Astyanax mexicanus: one gene and its partner. The protein of the gene in region 2 purifies or fractionates together with the protein of the main gene of each other region. This does not show direct contact. Links are inferred from orthologs where the notes say so. Each region holds a gene or a part of one and is shown on either strand. Other genes may lie near its edges. The genes, in order: pstpip2 and tyrosine-protein phosphatase non-receptor type 12.

Region 1 (16,933 bases), on a different chromosome or scaffold from region 2:
AAATCAACCTCAATGCAATCATCTAGCAACGGCATGGCAACCACCTGGGATACCATACCAACCACATAGAAACAACATGGCAACCACTTGAGATAGCATACCAACTACTGAGCAACAACATGGCAACAACCTAGAATAACATACCAACCACATAGCAACACCAGAGCAATTATATAGCAACGACATGGCAACCACCTGGAATATCATACCGACCACACAGCAACAACATGGTAACCATCTAAGAGAGCAACACCAGAGCAATCTTTTAGCAGAAGACGATAGAAGATTAATTATAAGCAGAAGTGACATGACACTTTTACCTTTTTTAGAGACTCGTGACTAAAGACTTGACACTTGACTTGGGCGTGCAAAAAAAGACTTCATGTAAATATCTCTTCCTCAAACTGAGAGAAAACTGATAGAGACCGCGAGCCAGACCTTCTTCTCCAACATCAGGGTCTGACATCACAAACGCACTTCTATGAGAGTGATCAAAATTTCCCATAAACACATAAACACACTCCTAGACCTTGTGGAAAGCCTTTTTAGAAAAGCTGAATCTGTTATAGCTGTAATAGGTGGACCACCATCCTATTAAACCCTATAGATGAACTTTTTGAACTTTTTTTGTTTTGGTGTGTTTATTTTTCGTTTTTGTTGTCAGTTCCTCTTTCAGGTTTTATAACACAGTAATTATATCAGACAGACACATGTCCTGATCTCTTTTACTCCAGAAGACATACGGCTGCTCAAAAATATAATCATTTAAAATGTAAAAGGAAGCAGAATTGTTATATTTTCCTGGAACTGATCATGTTTTGGTCAAAATTTAACCAAGCGCTTGTTTTTTTTTTGTTTTTTTTACTTATTTTTGAATGTATAGACTTTAAATATATTCACACCTAAGATATCTTTTAAAAATGGTTAGACTAGAGTGTTTATGAGTTGAAAGCATAAGAATATTGATGATAGTTAATTGCATGGCTTATTAATTATTACTTTGACAAAATACATGGAGAAACAGCATCAGGCGGAGTTATTCTTCTTGATAATCACACCTCTAGGATACATATAGATACTAAAAACCTGACACTCAGAGCAGCCTGTGCCTTTCAGTATTTTTTTTTTTTTTTTTTTTTTTTTTTTTTTTTTTCTTCTTTATTTAACCAGGCAGATCATTAAGAACAAGTTCTTATTTACAGTGATGGCCTGACATAAAACACAAATAAGTAACACTTAAAAAAAAAACAACAAACAAAAACATAAAAACAGGATAAGAAAAAACATTAAAAACCATTAAATCAGCAGGCATCCTCAGCATTTTGAGGATCAGGACACACAAAGAAAACTACTGTATATACAAAAATGTAAACTTTTTAGTCCAAATAAATAAAAATGATTAGTGCAAAATAACTACTTAGTAAAATAAAAGCTATATAAAGTAGTGTCACATCTAGCTTTAGTTTGGGTAAAGCAGGTAGTTTCACACTTTTTCTGTGGGACACTTTTGAGTCTTTATTTACTGATATTATTTGGTTTGAAACATCATATAAATATGTTTGAAGCACTAAAGGTAAATAATATTGGTTGGGGGACGGAGATCTCACTTTTTTAAATGTTTTTCTCAATGGGTTTCTTGTAGATACTTTACCGCACTGCATCACTATTTTTAAAAAGATTAATTCCACCCTTTCTAACCATATATGGATTATGTTTAAGTGTGAAGAGATTCCTGAGTAATTAAGCTGAGAACACAAGGTGCGATTTTGGACGGAAAATACGTCTGCAGGGTTCTAAAGGTTAAGAATAGGATGTCACTCAAGTTCATATGCATGCAAAGGCATTCGAGCGAATATTTTTGGCAGTTTTATCTACATAGTCTACGTAATTTTGGCTACTCTTGCTGTTTGTTGTGACACCAGAGGAAACAATACCTAAAATAATTTATAGGTGAGAAAGAGGACATCCTGTGCTAAGACTGGCCATTTGAATATGCTTTTTTTCTCTTTAAAGACGAGCGAGAGATGACTGTATTTCCCTAAAAGCGCTTTCTGAAAGTGCTGGGGTGCAGAACTGAGCCAACTTAAAGGTCATCACGTTTATAATACAGTTAAAAATTAGTTTTAAACAGGAACACTCCGCAAATTCGACTTTTAATTCCTCCAAACTCACTCTAAAATAAGTCACATAATTAAGACTAAGGTTCTCAATGTTCTCCATACCAGGTTCAAAAATGTTTCACATCTACCTTGTTTAGTCCAAACCAAAATAGCAGATGTGAAAGGTGCTGCAAACCACAGCCCAGATAAAAAAATCGCATTTTCAACTTCTAATTAGAGTTATTCGTAGTCTGGATATTTCCTGTTATAGCTGAATTCACACTTTTAATCCCAGAAAAACGCACTTTTTTACCTTTTAAAAAGCCATTTAAATGGCTGATTAAAGGGCTGATTACTGTTGTTTTGCTCTTTTTCTCAGGTTTTGAGTGCTCAGCGCAGATTTTTCCCTATACTGTGCAGCCCTAATTATGTATCTACTGTAACTGTAGATTAGTGAATTTTTCGCACTATGCGGTGAACCAGATTATAAGGTACACTATCAATAAACGTCTATTTTCTGGTCTATTTTTATGCATACAATTTACTAATATAATTCATAATAATTAGCCCTGATTTAGTAAACCTTTGGAACTGCAGTGGTAAATGCTCATTTTTTACATGATTATTGATTGATGACTATTAATGATGCTGGTTCTCACCTGGCTTTCATGAAGTCCTCGATCTCTTTGCACGTCTTTTTCCCATCGTTCAGGTGCTGGATGATGGCGTCGTATCCTGCTGTGCTGGTGATTTCACTGCTCTGTCCACATAAGGAAGAAAATAAAGATATTTTTAGTGAACTTTGGACTCAAACTCCTTTTACAAACACGGCAGATCATTAATAATCAATACATCAGCACATACTGCCATACTGACACACCATTAAAGGGTCCTTAGCCTATATTTTTTTCTCAATTGTATGTATTTTATACCACAAGGTCCACTTTTAACACATTTTCTAATGTGTTTTACGAACTAAAAATATTTTAAATCATAGATTTAAAGAGCCAATATCCTAAATGTCCTAGGTGTTGGTGTTTTTATGGGTTTATAAACTAAAAAAACACTCATTTATCCTTTGTGAAACAGTCCTTGTAACTTCAGTTAAGTGGGCGGAGCTAAATTGTATGGGTAAGAGTAAGGGCCCTATGAGTAACCCAAGACCAGCCTCCCAATATGTTAAAATTGGAAGAGATCAAAATACTCCAAACCACAGATAAGATTATAATTTTAAAAACATATTTTACATCACTGATAAAATCTAATATAACATCATTAACAGTTTGTAGCATTAGACTAGCATTTGGCTATAAAATGCACAGAACGTGATTATTCGGCTTCTTATTCTGGCTACTGCACTTGCGCATATCTCCTCACTGAGGAGGTGCTTACTAGCATACAGACTGATCTCCAGTCGCAGAGTAAGCAGCAAGCAGATTGGCTCTTTTTGTTGAAAGGCGGGACTTTATCCTTGGGTTAAGCCATACGAGAACTCCTAGTAATATTTCAGCCAGTGGTTGGTCCTTTAATTCATTTTATGCATTGGTCCTTTAATTGCTTTTGCTCTTGCTTTCCTGGAGCAGTCCTGATGAGTGCCAGTTTCATCATTATAACATTTTTCATGATCTTTGTGGCAACTGCACTTGAAGATACTTTCTAAGTTAAAATTTGACATGTTTTTGGATTGACTGACCTTACAGGAACTCCTTGTAATATATTTTAACCAGTGGTTACTTATATAATTCATGTTGCCTTTACAGCTCACTCACAAGATAACTCCACACAACGTATATACAAAACATGTGCTGAAACACTCCTTACAACTTAAGCATCATATAACAGCATTAGTGAGTAGGTACGTGAGGCTAAACTGAGTATGTGGATACAGTTATTACACTGTTTTTTGGGTTTTTGTTGCCTTATAAAAAATATGCATTAAAGTTTAAAAAATATCCATACATCCATATGAATTGAGCATATTTTTTAAACAACATTACACTCATTAATGTTTAGACAAAGCAAGGAATTTTGCTTTTAATAGGCCCTTACTAAGTAAATAATTCACAATATCCTCCCAGACACAGCGGCCCGCTAGATTAGGTGTTAAATTACTACAGCGCTGTGGAAATAGCCACTGTACAGCAGTCTAAACACTACAGTTTAGCCAAGTTCTCCTACTCCAGCCTGTAGGTTTGGCTATCATTATCCACAGCAGCTTCTAGCAGCGCTGTAATTCATGCCTGCAGCCAGACACATAATCACAGGCCTGCAGCCACAGCCAGCATTAGCCATGTGTCAAAATAAAGGTTTAGACAGACTAATAGCACTTTCCAAAACATTAGAAAGCAACATAATGAAGCCTGGACTGTCTGAGCTTTAGACCAAACTTAACTCCACTGACTTGCACTTTTAATAAAAAAATGTTTAAGGAATTTTAATATTATTATAGTTACTAATAATCAATTTCAGATCTTCTCACAGGTCATGTGAGCTGTTAATTTGTTGTTAAGAATAGTATTTAATTCCAAGATACATTAAATAGTTTGACAGTTAGTTCATTAGTTAATTAAGCTTTTTATTATAGATTATAACGGTAAAACTGGAACTAATTAGTTAGTAGTTGTATCTAAACTAGTAGTAGTATCTAAACTACCTGTTATGATAATTCATTTCTGATCTTCTCACAGGTCATGTCAGCTGATAATTTGCTGTTAAGAATAGTATTCAATTACAAGATACATTTATTAGTTAGACAGTCAGTTAATTAGTTAATTAAGGTATTTTTAATAGATTCTAATGGTGGAACTGGCACTAATTAGTTAGCTAGCTAAGTTATCCGTTACTAATAATCCATTTGAAGTTCCTCCAAGAAGTCAATTCATTCAAAGAACAAGAACAACTTACAAGATTGTTTAGAAACGTTTTGAAAAGGTTTCAAGACAAATAAACTGTAAAAATACAGAGATAATGTTCCAAAAAATGTTCTAAATGCTTGACATAATAATAGTAATCCCAGCTGGTCGAATGCTAACTTTAAGGAAACGTTAAAAGTAAAAACGTTAAAAGTGATGTTACCAGAACATTTAAACACATAAAAAATCTAAGAACATCCAGAAAACTTGACAGATTTACTATAACATTCTAAGAATGTTAGCTAACTGCATTGTTCAGAAAACGTTCTACTGACCAACAATTAATAGCTTACATACATACATTAATTAGTTAGAAAGTTAATTACACTGTTTGTTATAGATTTTAACGGTGGAACTGGCACTAATAAGTTAGGCTAGCATGTCCTAAAATAAGCTAAGCTAACCGTCTTGAAGGATTTTTTTTTAGCCAACAATGATATTTTACTGGGACATGAAGGACCTAAACTTAAGCCTAAACTTTACATGTTTAAACTACTGTAAGTATGGAGACAATATGAGAAATATTACATAAAATTACTGTAAATTATTGTCAATTACTGCTAAACAAGCAGCAGCAAGTGTCTTCAGTCCTTTGAAAATAGAATAAAACAGTATAAATATTATTTGTGATGTCACTGATGTCAAAGGTTAGTTTCTTAAAGGGGCAGGGTTATTCCTACACTGTAAAAAAAAAACTGTAGTTTTTACAGGAAAACGCTGGCAGCTGTGGTTACCAGAGTTTTCCTGTTAAAATTACAGACGATAAGTAAATAACTCTACTGAAAAAAAATGTAAATTAATTTACAGTGATTGAAATCACTGCTAAATTACAATAATAATCTGTCAAGTTTACACAAATTAAATGTTAATTTTGCATAGCAGTGTTCTACATAAAAATACCCTTTCCTGTATTTTTTACCTCTAACAAATGTCTGATGACAGGATGGACAGAGAATTCTTGGACATAGAGGCGTAAATAGCTTGATGTTTTTGAGATCAGAGCTAAATGAATAATAATTGAAACGCCAAAATTCAATGATCTTAAAAGTGAAAGTTATTATTATTCCTCTATATGTGTAAAAACAATGTTTTAGTTTCTGATGCTGGTAACTCTGATAAATTTATCCTGTGCAACAGAGGGAACTCTTGCTCTTGCTTTCCTGGGGTGGTCCCCATTATTATTATCATTATAAGTATTTTTATGGTCTTTGCTGGAACTGCACAAAATTTGAAACGTTTTGGCTTTGAAATTGACTAACTTCTTTCTTAATTCTTTAATTATTTCTTTAATTCTGCTTCTCATAATCTGGATTAGAACATTACTCAAATAGAGCTATTCACTGTATACCTGTAACTCCACCTCTTCACAACTTTACAACTGATGCTCTCAAACACTTTATTAAGAGACAAGAAATTCAAGGAATTATCTCTTGATGAGTTCAGCACAGCTGTTAACTGAAAGCCTGAATTCCAGTTGACTCTACCTCATAAAACTGACTGAGAAAATCCAGCAGAGATGTGCAAAACTGTCTCTATCTAAGCAAGAGGTGCTACTTTTTGAAGAATGTAAAATATTCAACATATTCTGGTTTGGTTACCACTTTTTAATTTGTATACTAATTAATTTCATATGTTTTTTTCAATAGTTTGAAAGCAGAACATTTTTAAATAATAAAAAAATAATAACTGGTTTCATATATACATTAAAAAACAACCACCTCTTTTGTGAAATAAGATTATGACAGTTGGTTTGAGGAAAGCGACCACAAAAAGGTTTTGCTGTTATGTATAGGGAGGAAGTTCCCTTGAAAAACAGCTCTATACTGTGAAAAGCAGAAAAAACTGTAGATAAAAGTTCTCAGATTATAATAAAGTGGATATATCTATTACTAATTAAGTATATATAAGTATTTTAATAATATGCCGAGGTTCCTCTAAGATACAGGCAGCCTGTTTAACTAGTTTACAGCACTGTATGTTGATTATATTAAATAATAAAGAGGTTGTAAGCAGTAAATAGTGAGTAAATGGTGGATAAAGTTCTTACCCAGAAGTTGTCTTTAAAGTGAAGGTCTCTCATGGTGCTGGAGCCGGTAGATGTGAGCTGTGTGAGAGGCTGGAGCAGACTGCTGGACTGACTACTGCTGCTCCTGCTGCTACTGTTACACGTTATACAGAAGTTAATGTGGCCTCAGGTGGCGCTGTTTCTCACTTCTGACTGTACGCTGCTGCACCTTTCCACCACCTGCTGGCTGAAGTCTGCCAATGCAGCTCATACTAAGGGTGTGTCTCAAACTGAGGCCTAGTGCCCTACCTAGTGCACTTCAGTCTGGGGCAATTTTTTCCCAAGTGTGGCCATATGATAATCTGGAACTGTTTTGGAGGAAAGACCAAAAGATAGATCTCAATTTGGCATATTTTTTTTTTGCACACAGCCTGGCTTAAAAAAAATTGTCACCAAAAAAAAAGTCACACACTCTAGTACAGGGGTGTCGAAACTACGGCCCGCGGGCCATTTGCGGCCCGTTTCCTTTTTTGGAGCGGCCCGAGAGGTATTTTAGAAATAGAATGAAAGTTGGCCCGCTGTTAAGCAGGTTTTTATAATGTGAGATTCAAAGTTTGAACGCTAGGTGTCAGAAATGGGCCAAAGAGTCTAAAAGCGGAGAGAGTGCACATTTCTAGCGCAGAAAAACGGGGCAAAGAGTCTAAAAGCGGAGAGGGAGCGCATTTCTAGCGCAGAAAAACGGGCCAAAGAGTCTAAAAGCGGAGAGGGTGCGCATTTCTAGCGCAGAAAAACGGGCCAAAGAGTCTAAAAGCGGCCCCCTCTGGCCCCCCAAAAAAAAGTTTGGACACCCCTGGTCTAGTATTTGGTTGGAGTGCCTTTAAGCTTTGATTGCTGCACACATTTACTGTGGGCAGGGGCGGATTTGGAAGTTCTGGGGCCCTAAGCAATGTTTTTTTTTTTTTTCCGGGACCCTGATCAAATGGATTCTTTTGTATAGCAAAATACAATATTCATGGTTCATACACCCTTTACAATGTAAAATTTAAGCATTTTCAAGGCCCATTTTAAGTTTTTCCAGCACCTTTCAGCTGTGGTAAATTAATGATAACAGCGATATCTCAAAACTGCGATTCAGCGATAATAAATATATCACAAAACTATTCCCCACCCTTCACAGTGACTATGCCACTGAGAAACAAGATACTTCTAAGTAAGTAAATAGCAGGAATTATGGATTTACTGGTGTCAGTTCCCCACAATTTAAATACCAATGAGCATTTATACATACATATACTCAAAATTATTGATTTGCTTTTTGTCACACTGCAAGAGATGGTATTATGTTTACAGTCATATGAAAAAGTTTGGGCACCCCTATTAATCTTAATCATTTTTAGTTGTAAAAATTTGGGTGTTTGCAACAGCCATTTCAGTTTGATATATCTAATAACTGATGGACACAGTAATATTTCAGGATTAAAATGAAGTTTATTGTACTAACAGAAAATGTGCAATATGCATTAAACCAAAATTTGACCGGTGCAAAAGTATGGGCACCCTTATCATTTTATTGGTTTGAATACTCCTAACTACTTTTTACTGACTTACTGAAGCACAAAATTGGTTTGGTAACCTCATTGAGTTTTTAACTTCATAGCCAGGTGTATCCAATCATGAGAAAAGGTATTTAAGGTGACCAATTGCAAGTTGTTCTCCTATTTGAATCTCCTCTGAAGAGTGGCATCATGGGCTCATCAAAACAACTCTCAAATGATCTAAAAACAAAGATTGTTCAACATAGTTGTTCAGGGGAAGGATACAAAAAGCTGTCTCAGAGATTTAACCTGTCAGTTTCCACTGTGAGGAACATAGTAAGGAAATGGAATTATTAGTAGTTTCTTAAAATAGTATAATTTAAAAAAACTACCTGAAGAAAGTGTGAAGGGAACAAAGATTGATTTGGGACACACCCAAAACTTTCCCTTACTCTAATTCAGTAAGTACACAAACACTGAAGCACTGGTGATTATTTTTAACTTTCCATCAACTTTATTGTAAAAAGTGAACACAGGCTATTCCCCCCACCCCCACCCCCCACAAACACACTCATCCACAAAATCATTACGGAGTTATGAGGACCGCGGTCAGTAGAAAAGAAAAGGAACAGTAAACTCAACACAGCGATCGGCCTAATCTAAAACACAGGTACAGATCAGTTCTAGAACTCTCCATGGATTATTATTAATCTGTTTTATATAAAACGTGGGTAAAGCGCGGAGCGGGAATGAATAGATCAGACAGCGGCGTCGGCTCCCGGAGTGTTTATGTTCTCCTCACGGCTTCATCGATATCATCAATCTGCTCCTTCAGCTGATTCCACTGCTCTGGGTTCAGGGAAATACCTGAGAACAGACAGACACACAGACAGATCCAACAAATTACTATAATACTGGGACAGCTGCTCGATCACTAGTACTTCTGAAATCAAAGGGTATTAAAAAGAGTTTATCCTGCATTTGTTGGGAAACTCTAGAGAAACTCTAATACAGGGTTTTTAAACTGGTCTTAGTCCAGGACCCATATTTTCTTATAATTATTACAGAATTTAAACAAACATATGCATGCAAAGTGAATTTAAGAGCATTTTTAGGAAATGAAGGAACATGAAAACTACATGTATAAAAGATCAAATAAAATTAAATATCAAAACTGCACAAAATTCCCCAATATAAAAGACGAGTACAAAATCTGATGAGCATTAAATGTTTAGCATTTTTAATGTTTTTTTTAATGCATTTATTTTGGTACCACTTTAAAATAAGACTACCTTTATAAAGGGTGTATAAATGGTTTACAATTAATTTATTAATGGTTACTAATTAGGTTGTAAATACCTTAAAAATCATTATTAATCAGTTATAACACATACGTAGAAAGGGCAACATTGAAGATGGCTGTGGGTTCACTTTTTGGCAAACAACAGGTCATTGTTGCCCTTTCTACGTATATGTGTTATAACTGATTATTAAGGATTTTTAAGGCATTTGCAACCTAATTAGTAAATATTAATAAACTAATTCTAAACCATTTATAAACCCTATAAAGGTAGTCTTATTTTAAAGTGGTACCCTTATTTTTTAAATGCTTTTGGACAACAGGATAAGACTCACTTCAGGGTCTCTTACAGACCTGTTTGACCACCAGAGGTCGCTCTTGGGTAAGTCTAAAAATAAATGGGTTCATATGGCACAATGGAGCAACATTTTTACAGTTTATAAATGTTTAATAATTTTAAACTAAAATATTGTACTCATCCCTCAACACAGAACAAAATAAAAGGTTTCTAAAATTCTTAAAGCTTTAAAACTCCTAGTAATAAAGCTTTTAAAATCCGTGCTCTGATTGTAACTCCAGCATCAGCTCACCAACCAGCCAATCAGCTCACAGTAGCAGTAGTACAGTGTCTTTAGTGCTTAAAGGCCAATTTATACATCTGAACAGCCCACACATTCTAGTCTTCGTGGTTTAAACTGAGGAAGCAGACAGCTACGTAGGGCGCTCACACAGGCTACACCTTAGGCAGCAAGTTAACTTAGTGATGAAGAATAAATTGGCCTTACTGAAGAAAAACTTACACATAAATACTTACATACAGTTAAGTTTTTTAGGCTTTTTTTATTAATTATTTCTACTTTTCTAGGTTATTTATACTTTCAAATTGTCCTCCAATTTAGCTAGGTCAATTTTCCCACCATTCAGCTGCTATTCAGCTGTATCTACCCATTAATAGTGATGCCACAACACCAGGAGGGTGAACACATGTGAAGTCAGACTCCGCCTCTTTTTAAACTGCTGCTTATTTCAGCATTACCGAGTAGCATCATCACAGCGCTAATGCTCTGAGGAAAGCGCAGCGACTCAGTTCTGATACATCAGCTCACAGACGCTTGTGCTTTGTGCTGATCCACATCACCCTAGGAGTGATGAGGAGAAAGAGCTCCATCTACTATGCCCACCAAGAGAGAGAGCAAGAACAATTGTGCTCTCTCAAGGATCCAGCAGCTTATGGCAAGTTGCATGACTGGGATTCAAACCGGCGATCTCCCGATCATAATGGCAGCGCTTTAGACCGCTAGACCACTTTAGGCTATTTTAAGCAAAATACTTAATTCTCCTTTCCAAATAAAAGAAACATCCTCGACAGGTGGTTAGTAAAGAGTAACAGGTCAGATACCTTTCCTCCCCGGCTTCATTTCTCCTTCCTGATCCATCCAGTACTCACGGATATCAATCAGCACCTTCCCTTTGAAGTCTCGGACACTCACGTATCTCATCTTCCCTATCTTAGAGAAAATAGACAAGTGTGACAGGACCAGTTTTATATTTTAGCTGTTAATGATGATGATGATAATAATAACTAAGGAATATTCATTATTTCTGATTCGAACTTCATTAAAAGAAGCAGAGAAACTGTGTAAAAATTAGGGACTATAAACTCTGTATTGTTTTATTCTGTTTTTTTTTTTATTCTTAATATATTTTTTGTTTTATTTATTTATTTATTTTCTGTTTAAATTTAATTATTTAAATATATGGGGGGTCTCTGTCATCACCTATGATTATACAGTACCAGTTAAACATTTGGGCACTGCTTAATTTACTTTTAATTTTTTGCATTGCAAATTAATACTAAAGTCATCCAAACTATAAAGAAAAACATATACATTTTTTTATTAAAGCAAAAAAGTGTTAAATAAACCAGAATATGTTTTATATTTTACATTCTTTACATCTCTGCATTTTCTCAGTCAGCTTTATGCATCAGTTGTAAAGTTGTGAAGAGGCACAGTTAGTATACAGTGAATAGCTCTATTTAAGTAATGTTCTAAACATTTTAAGAACTTTAAAAGTGTTCTTAAGTACAGTCGCAGAGACCATCAAAAACGTTATAAGGATGAAACTGGCACTCATCAAGACCGCCCCTGGAAAGTAAGAGCAGGAAGTACCTCTGTTGTACAGGATAAGTTCATTAGAGTTACCAGCAAATTAACAGCTCCCCAGATAGTAGTATGGATGACTTTACTATTCATTTACTATGTAGGAAGAACAATAAAAAAAATTTAATAAGAAGATGTGTCCAAACTTTTGACTGACACTGTGTATCTAGTTTAATTTTGTTTAATTTTGCCTGAATCGAATCAGAAAATATCTATACTCTATTAGTCAAATTTAAACAAATAAAACAATTAAAATAAACAATTAAATAAGTAATCATTTAATTGTTTGACAGCTCTAGTAATTACAATTACAATATAACAGTAATGTAATGCAGTAATGAAGACTCCTGACCTGGAACATGTTGTCGTTTTTGCTGCCGCCGCTGCTTTTGGAGGAGCCGGAGGTTTTGGAGGACTCTCCACTCTTCTGCTTCTTGGAGGATTTCTCCGGCGTCGCCTGCCTCTTCCTCTTAGCCTGAAACCGATAAAACGAACAAACAACCAATCAGAAGTGATCAGATTATTGATCCACTGATGCTACAGATCATCAGCGACGTACCTTCGTATCGGCTTCACTGTCCGAGTCGCTGTTGGAGGAGGAGGACAGCACTTCCTTTGATTTAGGCATTTTCTGGAGAGACAAGATAATATAAACATCACTGTAAAACACTGTCAACCTGCTACATCCTCTCATCATCACCTACGTAGGGGCGGAGTCTCTTTATCCTTCACACTGATTGGTTTGTGAAACAAAGGTGTGCATCAGATTCTCTCTAAAACTTTACCAACCGAAAGACTTTACCATATACCAATGCACTGTTTGAAATGTAGTTATATAAGAGTTATTATAGTTATATACTGTTATATAGAGTTAATTACATGTAGACACTCCCACTGACTTTAGAATGACTTTATGTTTATTTGAGTTTATTAATTCTAATGTTATATAGAGATAGTTACAGGTAGAAACTCTCACTGACTTTACAATGACTATAATGATGTTTATTTGGCTTTAGCTTTTTTCTAATGTTATATAGATGTTTATCACAGGTAGACACTCTCACTGACCACTGACTTTATGTTTATTTGAGTTGTGTACTGTAATGTTATATAGAATTAATTACACATAGACATTACATTAGATACTCTCACTGACTTTCCACTGACTTTATGTTTATTTGGGTTAATAGATTCTAATGTTACATAGAGTTAATTAAAAGTAGACACTCTTACTGACTTCCCAATTACTTTATGTTTATTTGAGTTTAAATAATCTAATGTTATATAGAATTAATTACACATAGACACTCTCACTGACTTTCCACTGACTTTATGTGTATTTAGGTTTAGTATTATAATGTCATTTAGAGCTAATTACAGGTAGACACTCTCACTGATTTTACTGACTTTATGTTTATTTGGGTTTAGAAATTCTAATATTATATAGAGTTAATTACATGTAGACACTCTCACTGACTTTAAAAACTTTATGTTTATTTGAATTTATTAATTCTAATGTTATATAGAGATAGTTACAGGTGGACACTCTCACTGACTTTAAAATGACTTTGTGCTTATTTGGCTTTAGAAATTCTAATGTTATTTAGGGTTAATTACATTAGATACTCTCACTGACTTTCCACTGACTTTATGTTTATTTGGGTTAATAGATTCTAATGTTACATAGAGTTAATTAAAAGTAGACACTCTTACTGACTTCCCAATTACTTTATGTTTATTTGAGTTTAAATAATCTAATGTTATATAGAGTTAATTACATGTAGAAGCGCTCACTGACTTTCCACTGACTTTATGTGTATTTAGGTTTAGTATTATAATGTTATATAGAGTTAATTACAGGTAGATACTCTCACTGACTTTTTACTGACTTTATGTTTATTTGGGTTTAGAAATTCTATAGTTATATAGAGTTAATTACATGTAGACACTCTCACTGACTTTAGAATGACCTTATGTTTATTTGAGTTTACTAATTCTAATGTTATATAGAGTTAATTACAGGTAGACACTCACTGACTTTAGAATGACCTTATGTTTATTTGAGTTTATTAATTCTAATGTTATAGAGAGTTAATTACAGGTAGACACTCTCACTGACTTTATGTTTATTTGGGTTTATAAATTCTATTGTTATATATAGTTAATTACAGGTAGACACTCACTGATATTCCACTGAATTTATGTGTATTCTGGTTTAGTGTTCTAATGTAATATAGAGTTAATTACATGTAGATACTCTCACTGACCACTGACTTTATGTTTATTTGGGTTTTGTACTGTAATTTTATTTAGAGTTAATTACACGTAGACACTCTCACTGACTTTCCACTGAATTTATGTTTATTTGGCTTTATAAATTCAAATGTTATATAGAGTTAATTACAGGTACACACTCTCACTGATTTTTCATTGACTTTATGTTTATTTGAGTTTATAAATTGTAATATTATAGAGTTTATTACAGGTAGACACTCTCGCTGACTTCATGTTAATTTGATCTCATTAAAATGTTATATAAAGTAAATATGAGTGCATAACTGGTTTAACTGGTTATATGAATCTATAATTACAAAGACAGTTGTAATATTTCTGTATGGTCCAACAAAGACGTATTTCCTCACTATATAGAACCTTTTTTTCCAAGTGAGCAGCCAACGTATACCCAACGTTCAAATCACTTGGGCAGATTGTGGGCGTGTCGACGCAAAAAAACTCTCCCTACATTTGACTATATAGTGCAATTACGCTAATATAGGCCGTTGAGCAGCGCGCGCTCTCATCTGCAGCACATGTAACACCTGCAGTGAGGGCAGCAGGTACTGAGCGCGAGCGGCTGCGTTAATAACCGTAAGATGAAGGTGAATATTGATACAGTGTGTCTCGTGAAGGTAAAAGATGAAAGGGGTCAGACCGGAGCGCGGGCCTTAAAATCGCGCGCGCCTTCTGCACCGCACACCTGACTGCAGCGCGCGCGCGCGAACAGGTACGCGGGACTCACCTGCGCGCGTGATGCAGCTACAGTGGGCGGGTTCGGGTAGGGTCGTGAAGGTCCGGCGGGTCCGCGGGTCAGTGTTTGATCTCTCGAGCTCCCAGCGCGCGCCACAAAATAACCACGGCAAGGAAGCGGCACCGCTAAGACTTATGGGGCGCTGCTTCCTCCCGCAATGCACTGTGGGAAATGTAGTCTAATTCCTAATATCAGGAGATACACAGTTATGTAATGTTATATAGTATTAATACAGTTGTGTACAGTTAATTACTTTACACACTGACTTTATTAATGTTTATTTGGGTTTAAAAATACTAATGCTACATAGAGTTAATTACAGGTAGACACTCTCATGACTTTCCACTGCCTTTATTTATGTTTATTCAGGTTTATAATTTCTAATGTTATATAGAGTTAATTACAGGTAGACACTCTCATTGACTTTCCACTGCCTTTATTTGTGTTTATTCGGGTTTATACATTCTAATGTTGTATAGAGTTAATTACAGGTAGACACTCTCACTGACTTTTCACTGACTTTATTTATGTTTATTTGTGTTTATAAATTCTAATGTTATATAGAGTTAATTACAGGTAGACATTTTCACTGACCACTGACTTTATTAATGTCTATTTGCGTTTATACATTTAAATTATATATAGAGTTAATTACAGGCAGACACTCTCACTGATTTTCACTGCCTTTATTTATGTTTATTTGGGTTTATAAATTCTAATGATATACAGAGTTAATTACAGGTAGACACTCTCACTGACTTTCCTCTGCCTTTATTTATGTTTATTCGGGTTTATAAATTCAAATGTTATATAGAATCAATTACAGGTAGACACACTCACTGATTTTTACTTACCTTATTTGTTTATTTGGGTTTATAGCGTTAATTACAGGTAGACACTCTCACTGTTTTTCCCCTGACTTTATTAATGTCTATTTGGGTTTATAAATTCTAATGTTATATAGAGTTAATTACGTGTTGACACTCTTTCTAAACATTGACTTTATTAATGTTTATTTAGATTTATAAATTCTAATGGTATATAGATTTAATTACAGGTAGACACTCTCAATGACTTTCAAAGGATTTTATATTTATTTGGGTTTAGTAAATACTATAAAAATAATGTGAATATTCTCTAAAACTGAGGCTATAACATATAGAACAGTACCTCTACACTACACTACATGATTTACTGTATATAAATATATTACATACTCATAAAGGTAATTAATTCATGGGTTTATACAAAGATACATTCTGTAGTTCTTTATTTGCATCTGAAGCAAGATCATAATGGTCACAGTGTTATGCTTGTTCTGTGTGTGTTTGTTACAGGTGTGTGATAGTGAGGTGATAATAAGCAGATATATTAGTAAACAGACGTATGTTCTCTTTACTTTGTACATGAACACATGATAACATTCCTACAGTTATTACAGGTTATCTCTTTTAGCACAGACTGTGAACCTAAAGCTAATAGCAGCCTTACCTGATACCTGCCACTGCAGCACCTGCCCAGCAGGGGGAGCAGTTGGGCAAACTGTCAGGGCAAGTCTGAACATGCCTTTGTTAGCAGGAAATAACAGGTAACGCTTGAATTAAATCAAAATAAACATAAAGTCAGTGGACAGTGACATACAGGTGTACAGAGTTAATTACAGGTAGACACGCACAGTGATGTTCACCATCACATGATGTTCTCCACTGTTCATCTTTATTCATCCTCTTATCTTTCCCAGAATGTACCACCACAGTACCACAACAGCGTTTTACAGCCGGGTTAAGTGTGTGAAAGATAACGCAGTGACGGACTGCTTAGTAACAGTCTTATAATATACGTCAATAAAACTTCAGCCAAACAAACAGAATTCTGTATTATGATAAGCCCCG
Region 2 (16,581 bases):
ACCACCCAGCAGTAGTTTAACTCATGAAGTCATGGTGAATTGGACAAGGATTGTGTTTGTGCTTAAACAAGGTTAGGTGAAACCAACTGTAACTTGACTGTCTTCAAAATAAATTACCATAACCCTGGGTTGGTTGGGTGGCAAACTGATACTAACCATGAAGCTGCACGAGGGATATAAAAACCCTCCTTATATGTTCAATAGCTCTCAAACCACATTTGTGTAATGTTTGACCTATCTGATCTCACTCACACACACAAACACTTTGTGGCACTTGCATAATGCCAAGTTACAAAACTGCTGTTTCGCAGTTGATCCTCTCAGAAAGGCAGAGAGAGGGCCTATCAGAGAGCAGTATCAATGCTGACAGTTGGCACTAATGCTGATTTTATACAGTGGCCCAAATCTTGCCATCTTAAGCAGCTTTGCTCTGTTCTAAAATCATTCAGAACCAGGCCAGCTCTGCTGCCAGACACTGGCCTGTCTAGCCCCAATTCACTACTGAGCTGGCATAACCCGCCGCTTTTAGAGGAGCAGACAGGGTGTTTCCAGCTCAGCACATGATGGAATTACAGAGGCGCAGTGGTGTCATATTGAAATGTTCCTGGTGTCAGTGTTTACAGTAAGCAGCTACATTCATGCCAGTCTCATCTGAAGTAAAAGCACATTCCAGACGTTAGAACAGATCTCATTATGTTTGGAAATAGGACAACAGTTCATTTCCCTGATCTTCTGCAGTCTGACAGCCTGAGGTCTCATTTAGGATGTAGTGACCATGGTGGCTAGGAGGAATTCTGAGCATTAGAAAGCAAGTTGAGCAGTGATAATTCGGACATTTATCTGTTCAGCAGAGCAGGGTACAAGTTCTTCAATAAACAAAACATCACACATTTCAGTTTAGTCCAAAGCTAAACTTAAAAAAAATAATAATATTCAATAATAATAATAATTTAAAAACTAGACTTATTTCAGCATCAATACTGCAGTTTAGATCACAACTAGGTTTAATCATACAATATTAATATACATGACCTCAGTCATTTCTGTTGACCTCAGTATTGGACATTATATTCAGCTGGTATGTGACTTTATGTATTAAAAAAATATATAATTTCTTTGTGTTTTTGAGGGTGTAGTTATTATGATGCTATGTTATTATTATACTATTGTAATTAAATTCTTTCTTACACAATATATTGTCCAAACAAAAATCGTGACAGGTCTATACCTGGTCTATCTATTCACTGATAGAGTCAATTATTCCAATATTAAGCTTAATCAACGTCCTGGAAACTGTCCCTCAGTGGTTTAAAATGACAGGTCTTTTTGGTCTGGACAATAATTTAATATCAAAACATATCACAATAGAAAAGTTCCATGATTCCATGATTTTATACACTTTTCTGATATTTTAAAATACATTATTTACAGCATGCGTTACTGACAGGGTTCCAGGGTTGGCAAACTTATTTTTCTTAACTTCATACTCATGGACATCCATTGTGGGCATTCTTGACTGTTTTTTTGTGATTTTGTATTGCCCAGATTGACTTCATAACTATACTGTAATATAAGAAATATACTGTGATAAAACATAGGCCTTAAACTTTTCCTGGCTTAAGATTTTTGGATAAAAAATGGTCTAAATTGCCACAGTATCATTTAGGAATAGGTATATTTAGGCATTCCGATAGTAAATGTGCTACTAGGATCAAAGTCTGGATTCTGGTAGTGAGGCATATGTGAGAAATGTGAGAAAATGTTAATTGGTAAACTGTCTGTAGTAAAGGCAGTGGTTCTTTATGGAACCATGAGACCTCAAAGAACCATTGGAAGGAGTTTTCTTTATGATGGAAGATGGCCTGGTTACTGTAAGGGTAAGTATGGCAGCCTGGACAAGCTCATTTCTAGCACTGCACACACCAGATGTAGGCTCAGATGTAAGTCAATTCCACCCCCTCCCCCAACTCATCCCCCAGGAGGAGCAGCAAGACACAAATGTGTGTGAACTCTGCCCTCTGGCTCTGTCTGTTACACACAATGCCTGCACGAGACCCCTGTCCACTCACAAAACAAACACACCAATTCTCAAAATAATAATTACAAATAAATACAAGTAAATACTGAACATGAAATTTGTACTCTACACTCTATTGCTCTAATGTTAAAGCCATGGCTATACTCACACCCTGCGGCTGAATCAGCAAACAAGGAGAATAACACAACAAAGCCAGACTGTTGTCGCACCCAAGCCCTCCACTGTCCAGCTGTCTGTGAATCAAAGCTGTCTCACTCCTTAAGAGGTCAGGACAGCGGGAAAGAAAAAGTGCTAAATGTATGAAGAGGGTGACACTGCTCTGTAAACCAGAGGGGGTCTATAGCATCGCTCAGTACAGACTAATAGCACTAATAAACTAATAACCCTGTACGACTCAGTTCCCTTCATGCTCAGAGGGACTATGAAGAGACTGCTGTAGAAGAAAGTGTGAAAACCCTCAAATAAAAATAAATTAAGTAGGCTCAGACACCCATTGCTGACACAGATGTGCAACGAAATTAACCTAGTCCCTTTAGAGAAGTAGAGAAGAGAAAATCAGTGGAGCAGTGTTCTCTAGAATAATGGTGCTCCATCCAGTAATTCTGGGATGTGTTTTTAGACATAGAGATGAGTTGGAGTGGCAATTCTGATCTCGTCACTGAATGCAACCAAATCCACACAGCTGTGCTCCAAAATTAAATAGAAAATCTTTTGTTACTCCAACAAAACAGTATACTCTTTTTAATAAACAATAAATGAGCAAGTGATCCAATACTTATTTCCATATACAGTAGTTTACTTCTCTCACTAACTCCTAAAGAATTTGTATCATTAAAACCTGAAATGTGCTCTTTATGGTAAAAGATGTATATTCAGGAAAAAATATGAAACGTACCAATCATTTTTCAGTAAAAAGAAGTCAAAATATGCAAACTTGGTCTTTTTACATAAGGACCTTTCATATAGAGCTAAGAAATGCAGCTAACATAAGAAGCAAATTACAGGATGCAACTAATGCATCCTTAGCCTTCGGTTATCCACAATTCTCTGGACATGAACCATGTAAAGAAATAAACAGAACCATGAAAACTGTGCAGAAATGGACGACACAAAGCCCCAAATTAATGAGGGATGTTGTGTAAATGTAATACCTGTTTTCAGTACAAAACCCCATATTAGAGTTGAAGTTATTAGAAGTTATAAATGGAAAATGTAAGATAAGAGTTCATCTAATGGCATCACTAAATGATTTTAAAAAGGCATCGCGGTCACTAAATAACCCACCCACCTCCCACTGCAAAATACTGCCCAGCTGCAACTGTGGAAAGCACATATTTATGGACTTTTTAAACAAACTATAAATACAGAAAGGAAGGCAACATAGTATAGTATGTGCAACAGCAACCTACAGGAAGTTACATTAAGTCAAATTTCACCAACAGATTCTTCCCCAAATGTACATTACAGGTCAGCATGTTAACTTCTCAAAAGAGAAAAACAGAGGCCTAACACACTTTCATATATCTGTTGACAACAGCAGCAATACCTTCGTAGGATACAGTAATCAGGACTATCTTGGTATTCTACAGGTTTCTGTATTTTGAATCAAGCAAATCTTAACAAAAAGACAATAATTTGGCTGGACAATAATTTATAATAATTTAACTTACTGCTCTGCAAAAAAATTAAGAGGCCACTTCAGTTTCTAAATCATTTTTTTCTAATTTTGCTAAATATAGGTATATGTCTGAGTAAAATGAATATTGTTGTTTTATTCTATAAACTAAAGACAACATTTCTCCCAAATTCCAAATATAAATATTGTTAGAGCATTTATTTGCGAAAAATGAGAAAAGAATGCAGTGTTTTCAGACCTCAAATAATGCAAAGAAAACAAGTAAGAGTTCTGAAATCAATATTTGGTGAAATAACCCGAACCTTAACCACAGTTTTCATTCATCCCAGGATGTTCTCCTCCACCAGTCTTACACACTGTTTTTGAATAACTTTATGCCACTCCAGGTGCAAAAATGCATGCAGTTCAGCTTGGTTGGATGGCTTGTGGTCATCCATCTTCCTCTTGATTATATTCAGGAGGTTTTCAATAAAAATCAAAGAAACACATCATTTTAAGTGGTCTCTTTTTGTATATACCACAATAAAAATATGTTAAAATTATATATTTTTGATTATAAAAAAGTGTTTACTGTCTAATGCAGTCCTAATAGGTTCTGGGTCCCTGATTGGACCCTAAGCCATTCTACAGTCATGTCATAGCTATTATATACCAATGTCCCAGTCATCATGCTTATTCTAAATGGGTCCCAGCATTATAGCCCACCTTAAGCTTGTGTGTGCAGTGCATCTCCCAAATGGGGCCCATGTGTAACCATTCATGGTCCAATCAGTCATCCATATGTGGGACCCACATGGACAAGACCATGGTCAAACTGTCTGGATCCCAGCTGGGATATCCCTATATTCCCCACATTAGTTATTATGACTTGTGTGACTACAGTCACAGTCTACAGTCATGATTATTACGCTAGTTGATTAGTACAGGCATTTAAAGTAGGGATTTGCTATATTGTATGGTACGCAATAATATTGCCAATATTATCACATCAGGGTACTACTTTTTTGCTGTTTTTAGCAAAAGAAAAATTCACACTGTTCTCATTTACCATTATATATCTACTATAGACAGATTATATCTGTCCAGTATAATTTATTTTACTTCAGTTTTGGATATGTGGAGATATTTGTAGTGCATTATTAGTATCACAACATTCTGAATCATTGATTTTCATTTTGTTGCAGTAGTGTATTCTTGAAATAATTTTGTAATTCGGTGTTTTGCCATGTTGCCAAAAGTGTCGTTATCGCGAAAATACTAAGAAATATCGTGATATTGTTTAAGGGCCATATCGTCCATACTTAAAGCAATTAAAACAAATGCCTTCCAACGTGACACACGTGTATAATGTTTCGGCTATCCCTGATGTTGACGTTATATTCTGGAATCAATAGTTTATCGTGTTTATTTCAGTGGTTTTCAGGGTTTTTTTTTCAGTGTTGGACTGAGTGAGAAACCCTCCTCTTCCTCTCTGTGCTTAAACGGCTCAGCTCCTTGCGCAACATCCGCGGAACTCCCTCATACCACCGCCGCCACCACCACGCTGGACCCCCATAAACCGCCCGTTTAGCTAACTAACTATCCCATTAACGTGTCCATATCTTCCGGAAAATACACATACGTGCTGACTTCTTTATAGAAGCTGTCTTCTGTTTTTTTTAAACAGAGCAGAAACAAGCCCGAGCCGCCCGCTGCTTCCCAGCGAACAGCGCTGGTTTTGGACAAAGACGCTGTTAACGTTAGCGGCTGCTGCTGCTAGCTTAGCTGTGTCCAAATGTTAGCCAGCAAACAAAAGTCTGTAACCGGGATTTTCACAGTGCAAATAAACCCTAAACATCAGAGATTTAGCTGGCAGTTTATACAGAAGGCAGACTAACATTTTAGCCAGACATTTAAACATGTTCTCTCCACAGTGTTGACAGTCAGTATTCACCTACATGACCCGCCCTGAACACGCCGAGAGAGAGAGTAGAGCAGTGTGGCAAAAAGAAGGCGTTCTAGACGTGAAAAGTGACAAGCGGGATAACTACCTATTCCCAGTCCTAACCCATCTTATAACCGTAAATTCAGAATATATGTAGTGCAGTTTCTTAATACCAGAAGCTCTCCATTCAGATATAGGTTAGTTAACTAGCTATCAGCTGTAAATATTCACTAGTATTAATATTAGAGGCTTTCACAGTGGCGTGTAACCATAGGTTACTACCTAACTAGCTTTATGTCTAATGTTTGGGAAAATACAGTAACTTACACATATAGCTAACTAGTTAGCTAACTACCCAACCTAGCTGTTAGCTAGCTAGGTTACAAATTTGTCGTACACGTTAAAGAGACGTTTTAAATAAAAGCTAACTAAATAACCCAGCTGGTATGTAGTTAAGAAAGGGATGTGACCCAACAGCACACTCACACTCATGTAGAAATCTCTCCCTCTGACCACATTTAGCTAGCTGCGGCTAACCGTCAGGAGAGAAACATCAATAAGGGTTTTTAACTACAAGTCGCAGCCTGTAAATTAAACCGTTCATAGAGGAACATTTACAGGGCTTTTACAGAAAAAGCTATGTTAAGTTAACTCTACAGCAGCTAAGTCGGCGTAGGCCGCAGCCGGTGTTCTGTCGAGCTGTGCTACCTTGTCAAACCGTGCTGCCCTGGTGTGTATATTTAACTGTAAAAATATAAAAGAAGCACCTTATTACAGCATGTTCTCAGTAAAAGTCCCAGTAGACATAGCTAGCTAGTATATATGGATAGCATAAATCACTATTATGGCAATGAGGGGTTATTAGAAACTGCTTTTGTTTATATAAATATATATATTTTTTTATAATAATAATTATAAGCTATTGAATAAATTATATTCGCTTCCATTTACACGTTTGTGTAATGACAGTGAGTCCAGGTTGTTTAATGCACAAAAAATGATTTATTATTTAAAAACGCGAGAAATAATGAAAAGGTGTAGGTCAGCGCATGCGCATTGCCTTTAGGAAGCACGTATCGATGGGTAGCATAACTGGACATAACACCGCGGAGCCTTCTAACTAACCCTAGCTAACTACAGGTCAGTACAGACTGTACAAAGCTTCAGCGCAGGGAACAGTAGTCTGGAGTGGGAGAGAGAGAGAGAAAAGGGGGCACTGTAAAAGCAGCTTCACACTGGTGGAGGACTGTTAGCTAAGCTAACCAGTTAACTAACTAGTTACCTAGGTAACTAACTAACTATTAAACCAGCAGAGACAGAGTGCGATCGTGTGTGTTAATTATGTATTAACTAGGTTATTTATTGTGTTAGTGTGGCTGGTCTCGGTCTCTCCTCTTGTTCCTCCTCTTTCTTCTTACCATGAAGTCGCTGCCGAAGTTGTCCTCTCCTCCCTGGTCCCCTGTTCGCATGGCCTGAACCCCCTGAATGAACTTCCTCAGGATATTCGCCTGCTCCATCCTCAACTCCGGTCCCTGAGCGCTGCTGCTCCCACGGTTAGTTAGATACGTTAACTACTCCCGAATACGAAAAAAATATAGAAAAATAAATTAAATAAATATCTTAAAGAAGAAAAATCTTCTCTGACAGTTATTCCAACATCTTCTACCGCTCCATGCTCCCCTGTGCTCCCGGATGAGAGAAAACAACATGTAATCCAAGCGGGTGAGCTAAGCTACAGTCTTAGGGTGTAGGTAACAATGTCCCCACTCCTCCTTTAACGCACCAAGCAGTTAATATTAATACTTTTTAAATGTATCTAAATAAAAAAACAACAAACAAAACGCCGGTTCGCCCCTCCCTGTCTCCTCACTGCCACATTAACAACTAAACTCTGAAACAAAACTGGCTGGACCGCCCAAAAGCCGCTCGGACACGTTGCCACCCTCTAGTGGGAAGGACGCTCCGTGATTGGATTGTGACCCACGGCAGCTTGCGCCTGATTGGACAGCCCCGGTGTCAATCAAACTAACGCGAACGCTTCGAGTCGCTGGCTGTAAAAGAGAAGGCTGGTGGTCACGTGCTCAGTTGAGTAAGTTTACCATTGGTTGAAAGCCCGTAAGCCCCTCCCACGCAGATTCCAGTCGCGTTTCGCTCGGGTCCGCCCACCGCTAGGGTGACGTGTGGATAATCGAGAAACAGAAAAATGTGTGTGTCTGTGTAGAACAGGAATGTCGATTCCCAGAACCAGGTCGTGTTTACAGTATTAACACCATTGATCTGTCAGATATAACGGGGCTTGTTCTGCCTTTTACTTGTGTCTGAGTGAGCTGAGGGAGCTGTTCAGTGTTCAGAACAGCACTGTCTTCAGGCTAATTCTCACAGAGAGGAGGAGGGAGCATTTCACAAAGCAGGGTTTAAGATTGTTTAGCTCAGGGGTGTCACACGGTACACAACAGTGCGGTTCAGTAGGAGTTCGGGGAGTTTTACTAACTCAACATGATCAAAACTTGGTTTATTTATGTGTATTATGTACCTCTTTTTTCAGGCACCAAATAGTTTAAGCTAAGCTGGGCTAAATACATACAATACATACAGCAGACAAACCTAGTTGCAAAAAATATTTTCACGTAGGTTCCCCCGGACCTGGACTTGGACACCCCCTTCCCCCCTTGTGATATATATCACATTAACTCACTTCAACATGCCTTTTGCAATTATTTAGTCCCCCGAGAGTATTGCTAAAATCACTATTACTATTATCTGTACAGCAGGCAAGACTTTTATTGTTTTTTACTTTTACCAAACATGGATATACTTTAGAGTAGTCAGAGGTGAAATGAGTTTTGATGGGAGCCATAATGATCCTGAACACGCCAACACTAAAAAACGATTGGCCAATCAGAACACTCTATGTTTTGCATGCGCTTCATAAATATTCACACAAGGGGAACACCTTTCTCTGCCTCTATTTCACATACGCAATCTTTTTTTAAACTTCATTTGTAAACATTAAATTGTTATATAATATGCATATACATATATCATTTATTTAAAGACATTAAACATTAAACAAGGTCAAATTGACCCCAAAGATAATGAAGGACTAATGCAGGTAGGTCATTTCAGCTACTTTCATGCCAAAACACCCTCCCTGTATTAACTTTTAATTCATATGTTATTCTCTTTATAATAAAAAAAGCATGATGACCCTTGTCTGTTCTGTACTTGTCTTTAGAATTGACACTCTGTGTTGTTTTTGTAGCATATTACATTGAATAAACATTCTTTTAAAGTTGATGATGGAAAACAACCTTTATTTAGCATTGCCTAATAGGCATTAATAATTGAATCATTTCATTCATTTAAAGGTTTTTAATGTTAGGGTTCTCAATCTACACTCATGATGCTTTTAGGTGAAAGTTTCTACCCACAAATAACAATATTACTATTAATAATTATCATGTAAATGTTATTTCTACACTGCAAGACCACAGTACAGGCTATAAGAATAGAATACAAACAATCTTTTGTTGCTGACCAGTGAAAAACATCTTCAAAAAAGAATCTTCTTCACTTTCAATGGAAGTCAATGTAAAAAGAGTAAATTTCAGGTGATTTTGGAGAATATATATATAAAAAAAACAACTAGACCATTTAGAACTGTTGAATACAACTAGCTCTGCGTTATCACAAGGCTGTTTTATGTCCTATATGAAAGTCTATATTAATTCCAAAAAATATATTCAGAAATGGAGTCTGTACAGATAATTGTACATTGTGTACACATGCTATACATTTATTAGCACTCTTTGTATAAAATGTACAGCATAAAATACTGTATGTGAAAAGAGCTTGAAACTATGTGTTTTACAGGAAATGCTGCAGATGGTGTACAATAATGTATTTGTATTTTACACTATTCAGTGCTTTCAGTTCCTGTTAAGTAACTGCTAAGTAAAACTGATTTAATATACTTCTGTCTGATTAGACATACACAGCAAGTTTAACTAATCCTGTCGAACTCTGATGCACTGTTTTTATTATATACGCTAAATAAAGTTATTACACTATACATTATAGAAAAATCCTTTGCTTTTCTCCCATTCTAACGAAAATATTAACTCTCTAAAAGAGTCTCTGGCCTGGTTTTATAGGAAATGCAGTGAATTCAAAGCTCTGAAGTGAATCATCACCACACGAGAGCTAAATGGAACCTTATTCATCAGTAATTCCCCTCGGCCTCAGACGGCCAAGATCCCCTTAAGTAGAGCTGATGCTTAAACTGGACTCAATAAGGAACCAGAAACAGCGCTCCTGGTTCCCCTGGCTCCGTCAATGACAACAAAACGCCCCATTCAGGCTGGTTTGTGGGGGCACGCTGGACCCAAGCTGTCAAAGAGCCAGCTGCCCCTCCACAGTGTCGGGCAAAAGCACTGGGCTCTCACAGTACCAAAAGAGTGGGCATTAGAATTCAGACGGTGGACTATGAACACCTCAGACTCCAGACTTTGAGGAATTTCTCCTTTACACTTTTTTCTTTTTCTTTTTGTCCTCATTAATTCTGTTCACATAGTTTCTAGATTAACAGCAGTGACAAGTTACAGTATGTCAACTGTACCCACTGGCTGGGCTCAGACATTTGGTACAGTTTACCTGTAAAACCATGCAGGGGAACAATTACTGACAGCAATCCTCATCAACTCCACAATCAGTAGATGTGATTCAGTGCTCTTACATGTGCCATGTTGCTGATCTGGAAACCAGTTGTGTTACCAGAATCCAATACTTTGGTGGATTTATGAATATGCATGGACAGCTAGAACAAGGTGAAACACTGCACGATATACTGTATATGACCTTTAAGATACTGCATCTCATGTACCAATATTACACTAGAAGTGATTAGCCTACTATGAACTAGAACACTTAAAACTGGCCTTTGGTTGCTTAATTGGTAAATTATGGAGAGAAATTAGTGCCAAATTGGAAGATTACATTATATTTCACTGCACTTGATCTCTTTATTGAAAATTTACCATACGCAAAAAAATTGTGTCAGAATTGCAACCAAACCTTAATATGCAATCAGATTAATGCCATTGTATTTCACAGTGTGGCGCTGCAAATGTTCGAAAGCAAATCACAATGCACAGGATTGCATTTCGTCTAGGAGCAGCATGGTATTCATGCCAAAACATAATGTAATCACTGTCCCACTATCAGAACTATCAGAATCCACTACTGAAATTGGGGTGGGACTGAGAAACTGAGAGTGTTTATTTGCTCTTATATCCTGTCGCAAAAGACATTTTCTCTGGTTTAAAGTACAGCTATTAGTGCTCCCTTCTGACTGTTTTCCCAGCCCCACCCCAAGTTCAGTAGTGGGTTCTGATTGGACCATGATTACATTTCATTTTGGCACAAATTCTGCACTGCTCCAAGACAACAATCCTGTGCGTTGTGAGCTGGTTATGAAAATGTAAATTCTTGTGTATTGTTTTTTTTATAAAGAGATGCAGTAAAATGTAATGTAACAGAGGTTTTGCAGTTCATTTTGGTACGTATTCTGCATGTTAGTGAACTGCATTTACATTTTTCCATGATAGTGCTTGCTTTTTTAATTTGACACTAATAACTCTTAAAAGAAAATGACCCCTGAACCTTGTGTTTCCAATCTACTGGACTGTGTGATAACACCGGCCAGAAAATGTGTACAGTTACCTGTTCCCCACTGCCAATAATATTTAATGTACAAAATAAATCTGTATATAAATATTTAGATTGCAGTTAACTAAAAAATAAAAAGAGGACTATAAGTTACAGTACAATAGTTTAATAGAAATTTGTTTAACGGTGTTACCATTTGTTGTACTTTTTTCTGAGATTCTTATCTAAAATTTTATATATTGTATATCAGCATCATCCTCAGTATGTTACAGTAAAGATAAACTAAATATTGACTAAATAAGTTTTTATTTTTACAGATAACTTCAACAGATATCATCCAAAAGTGACATGGTGGCTTATAGCAATACTACGGGCTTTTAGAATCACTGTGTCGACGAGTAACCCTCAGGCTGAAACCAGCACTGAGATGCAGCTGACACAATATGCTTGAACCTCTCTCTTTCTCTCTCTGTCTCTCTCTCTCTTTTTCTCTCTGTCTCTGTTTTCTCTCTCTCTCTCTCTCTCTCTCTGAGAAGGAGAAAGAGCAGAGCTGCTTTCACAGTTCAACAGAAACAGGTCAAGCAGTAAGAGCTACAAAGTTAAGCACACAGGCCCCGATCCCCTCACACACACACACACACACACACACACCAACACAAGGCCTAGCCAGCCTGATCCAGCACACACTCGAGTTTGATTTACACATGTTTGGAAGACTTTGGGATGTTGGAGGGAGGCTGACATGTTTGGACACTTCTGAAATGCCTGGATTTCACCAACTTAAAACTTCTGCAGTGTACGTACATGCACACACACACACACACACACACACACACACACACACACACACACACACACATACACACACTTTTTTTTTTTCCCCAACAACATCAAGCCTGTTCTACTGGCAGCTAGCATAGTTCTATGTAGAACCGTCACAACAAAGACCTGCCTGATTTCTTGTCTGATTAACAAAGGTGTGAAAAGTAATGACATTTATTAGTCAGGCAGAAGTAAAAACAAAAATTGGGTTTTAAAAGTAGTTTTGTAGAAGTTTATAACAGAAATGTATATTTTTATACTTCTCATCCAACCACAATCAGATTCAATTTATCTGGATGGAGAGGTTTATCATTATCGATGATAAGCCATAGTAAAAACAAGCTGAAATGAAATATGAGTGACAAAGCTATTTTTAAAATGTAAGGAGTAGAAAGTATAAATAACCTTGTGAAAAAGTACAAAGTCGTCTTGAAAACAATTAGTTCAGTAAAGTATAGATAACCAAAACAAGACGAGAAATATAATTCTATAACTGAAAGAGAAAGAAGCATGTGAACTGAGGAGGTAAAGTATTATTACAGGTTTTTGCAAAGTGCAATTAGCAAAATACCAAGCCCAGAGTAGCAATCAGTGGAGCATCACTGTGATTTTGAAGTTCCTAAAATCTTTTTAAGGTTGCAGTCCATATTATTTTGTTTCTAAACAGAAAGCAGAAGCATTTCTAAATGAAGAAGGGATAAAATATTGTGTTTATCAGTGTACTGGAACCGCCATCCCTGCTAAGCCTAATATATTCAGTCTAAGAACTGGGGTGTGGGGTCACTTTTCGTGGGAGTTCTTCTCGCCACGTCCTGCGTCTTTACGTACTCACGTCACACGTACAGCCTCTAAAAGAGGATCCGGCTCAGTTTTACTGAATGTGAGAGGCTGGTGGAGCAATGGAGACTTCAGAAGAGGAAACTTAGAGCTCAGTAGCTCATTCACTCATAGTAAAAACAAAAGAAAGAAAGGAATGAAGTTTCTGACTGAGCTCTCTCTCTCTCTCTGACTGAACATAACCTGGAATCAGATTCATCTGCTTTGAAAGGAGAACGCATCACACCCGCCCAGTTTAAAACAATTCTACCGCATGCTCGGTGCAATTACCCATTCTCACCAGAGAGGGCCCTAAATCCCCCAAATCCAAAAACGTACGTGCATTAACTTTAATATAATAATGTTTATATAAAGCTTTAATGCTGATTTTTGCTATATGTGAAAAATAAAGCATTTTGTCACAAATTTTATAAACATGCATGTTGAAAAATGATTAGGTGCCACTCATTAAGCAGCCAAAGTTTTGGACTGAACTGAAATCTGGATTTCATGAATCGTTGCACCTCTACAAGTCAAGTAACATTTAAAAACCTTTATTTTTAAGAGTCTGTTATGCTAAAATGAAAGTCCTGGTCATGCTGAAGTATGATTTGTGGTTATAATCACAGGTCTGAAAAGAGAAATATAATTCAATTAGGGTTTCTTGTCAAAACATCTATTACCACAGGCAAGAGAAAGTTCACATTTGAAACATGAATGTTCTGTGTGTGTGTGTGTGTGTGTGTGTGTGCGTGTGCGCATGCTGATGACAGAATTCTGTACCACAGTGATGTGGGGTAGGCCAGTCTGTTGCCCATTTAGCAGGGTGACTAACAGTGCACCACCCATCATCTAATTCAAGCACACACACACCGACCCAACCCTGCTGTATGAGCATGTGTGTGTGTATGTGTGTGTGTGTGAGACAGAGAGAGAAGGAGGAGGGGTATTATGCACTGTCTGCTCTGTTCATGTAGTTATTTCTTTCAGGAAGAGCATGTCAGAGCTCAAATACCTCACATTTTAATGATAATGCAATAAAACATACAAACAATAATCTTCTTGTCCGCCTCCCTTTTTCATCAAAGAAGCATGAAGAACCGATAACAGTAGAATTCTTGTGATACTGCTTGTGTGAGTGGACTGTACTAAAATTGAATTATTGTAATGAGATATAATCTTTTATCATACAGGAGGTTTCAACTCTTGAGGAACTCTTGAGGAACACAGGAAGCTGAGGACTACAAACTATCAACAATATGCTGGAGTAGAGTACTGTCACTGCAGTGTATGATACACTGTATGTGTAGAATTGTGTGTAACAATGTCAGAAAGAAAGATTATAAGTTGTGTTAACAATTGTTATGAAGTTATGAATAGATAAAGATATTTTTTTCATATTGAAATCATCATTAGATTTACATACATACAGTACATCTGTGCGTTGTTTTGTTGGTCTGTCTGACAACTTTATGATAAAGTTGACACTAACAAATACACACGCACACGCATACATAAACCCAAACACACACACACACACACTCAATTTTATTATTATATACACACACCTGCATCGGCCACCTAACCCCACTCATCAGTTATTAATTAATGTAATTTAAATTCTGTCATTTGTAAAGGTTGAATTGTTTTTTATTATTGGTTTTTGATCTATTTATTAAAACAGGGATGAGAGGGTTCAAAAATAACATAAAACTAAGCTTTATGTACTAGCTTATTTATGATGAAGGGGTACAAACATAGTGTTTTAAAACAAAATAATCCAACATTCAAACAAAAGAAACAAAGGAGTGAAGATTCTGACTGAGCGCTCTCTGTCTCTCTCTCTCTGACTGATATATATATATATGTATATATATATATATATATATATATATATATATATATATATATATATATATATATATATATATATATATATATATCCATCTCAACAACTGAAATGTTGAAAAACCTTTTATTGAATGTTTTAAGTATCAAAAGTATAAACAAAGTAGTTGAGAATGGTTTGGATTTAAAAGCTTTATTCCAGAAAAACATACTGAGTAAGAATTATTCACAGTGTTAATAAATAGAACCATTAGTCCTTAAAAAATAGTTTTATGTAAAACATTATTTTAAAAATCAATTAATGGTGAAGTGGTACAAACAGAGTGATAAAACTAAATAGCACCTTTTTCCTTTTTCAATTTTATCACTATTTGAATTGAAACACATTGGTGGTTTAATGATTTATTAGGTTTTCTTTAAAGTGAGATCTGTGGGTTTTAATTTTAAAATATGCACTTTTCTACAATGAATCAAACCAATTTGAATGCGTTTGCTAACATTTTCCATCTTAACAATTGGTATATGCTGAAATGTCAAAATTTGAAAATGGGGTGAAATTCCCATTTAAAACATTGCTTTCCAAAATGTACACTGAATATTTATAGAAAGTGAAAGATGCTGCAAAATGGTGTATAAAAAATACAACACACACAAAAATGGATAATGAACGGCAGCTCGAAACAACAGCAACAGTAGGAATCTGTATGTGTCATTAAGAAAGTTTCTAGCAAAGAAATGATGCTATATAGGACTGTCAATAAAACGCGGGAATACACTAAAATAGCAATATGTAAATAGATTATAAAGTGGTACCTTTGGTATATATAAAGTGGTACAATGTGGGAATGCCCTTTCCTGTATAAATTGTGAGGTGTTATCTTGTGAGAGATGTTGAACAAGACTTGTAAGCATGCTAATGAGGTCGAGCAAGGCCTGATAGTGGATAGGTCATTCCATTTCTGAAGTTGGTTGGTGTGGAAATGTAATATTCCTCGATCCACAGTGACGGAGGTATCTATACATCACAGAAGTCATTACTACCCACAGTGGACAGTGCAGTGGGTAATAAGGCTTGTAACCAGCAGCATCTAACTAGAACTGTCCACCCAGTATGTAAAAGGCCGCTGGGAAATAGTGGAAAAAATAACAACAACAACAACAACAAAAGGATGACAGGTGACAGTTCAAGATGACAGGGACAGTAGTCGTCTGTATGTGTGTTGTGTGCTGGTGTTTTGGTGATCTTCATATACTGCAGCTTCCTGTGAGAGTCTTCACTGGTGGTATGTTTAGGAGCCTGTAGAACTACAGTATATGATGGTGTAGGTTTGTATGTCATTACTCTATAGCTGGAATGTAGGGTGGTATGATGTGTGTATGTGTGTGTGTGTGTGTGTGTGTGTGTGTGTGTGTATGAGCATGTAGAGCAGTGTGTGGTGTAAGGGTGGGTCCTCAAAGCTCTGACTAAAGGAATGCTCTGTAAGAGGAACACAGGAGCGAGCAGCTGAGTGCAGGAATGCACTCCAACAAGCCCTGACACAGCCTGCACTTCTTTACACACACACACACACACACATATCAAGGTTATGCAACTTCATGGAGCAGATCCACACAGACACTACACACATTCTCTCTGTGTCCACTTGTAACCTCAAGCTTTGAGTTTGCTTAAGCTGAGCAGGTATAAACCTGCAGCTGCTCAGTTTACCAATCTGTATCTCCATGTCTCTGTTTCTCTCTCTCTCTCTCTCTCGCTCTCTGTAGCTTTTCTCCCCAGTTAAACACATGCAGTCACTGCTGCAGTGAAATGCTAAGCGTGGGATGGCCTGT

What was found.
Region 1: the proteins of tyrosine-protein phosphatase non-receptor type 12 (region 2) and pstpip2 purify together in Homo sapiens (affinity purification with mass spectrometry; 4 studies listed by BioGRID and IntAct, counting the BioPlex papers as one, with this or other methods). This does not show direct contact. The link is inferred for Astyanax mexicanus from reciprocal best matches to the Homo sapiens genes PTPN12 and PSTPIP2.

What each region holds. Positions count from the first base shown.
Region 1 is NC_064427.1:20,968,768-20,985,700, forward strand, and holds the start of pstpip2 (proline-serine-threonine phosphatase-interacting protein 2), read right to left. Parts: upstream 7,174-16,933; 5' UTR 7,092-7,173; coding exon 7,059-7,091; intron 5,592-7,058; exon of another isoform or gene 5,550-5,591; intron 2,860-5,549; coding exon 2,759-2,859; intron 1-2,758. Other genes in the region: sub1a (SUB1 regulator of transcription a), read right to left, coding at 9,339-9,418, 11,251-11,359, 12,366-12,488, 12,573-12,641. UniProt on the Homo sapiens protein: Binds to F-actin. May be involved in regulation of the actin cytoskeleton.
Region 2 is NC_064409.1:36,011,009-36,027,589, reverse strand, and holds the start of tyrosine-protein phosphatase non-receptor type 12, read right to left. Parts: upstream 7,505-16,581; 5' UTR 7,116-7,504; coding exon 7,017-7,115; intron 1-7,016. UniProt on the Homo sapiens protein: Dephosphorylates a range of proteins, and thereby regulates cellular signaling cascades. Dephosphorylates cellular tyrosine kinases, such as ERBB2 and PTK2B/PYK2, and thereby regulates signaling via ERBB2 and PTK2B/PYK2.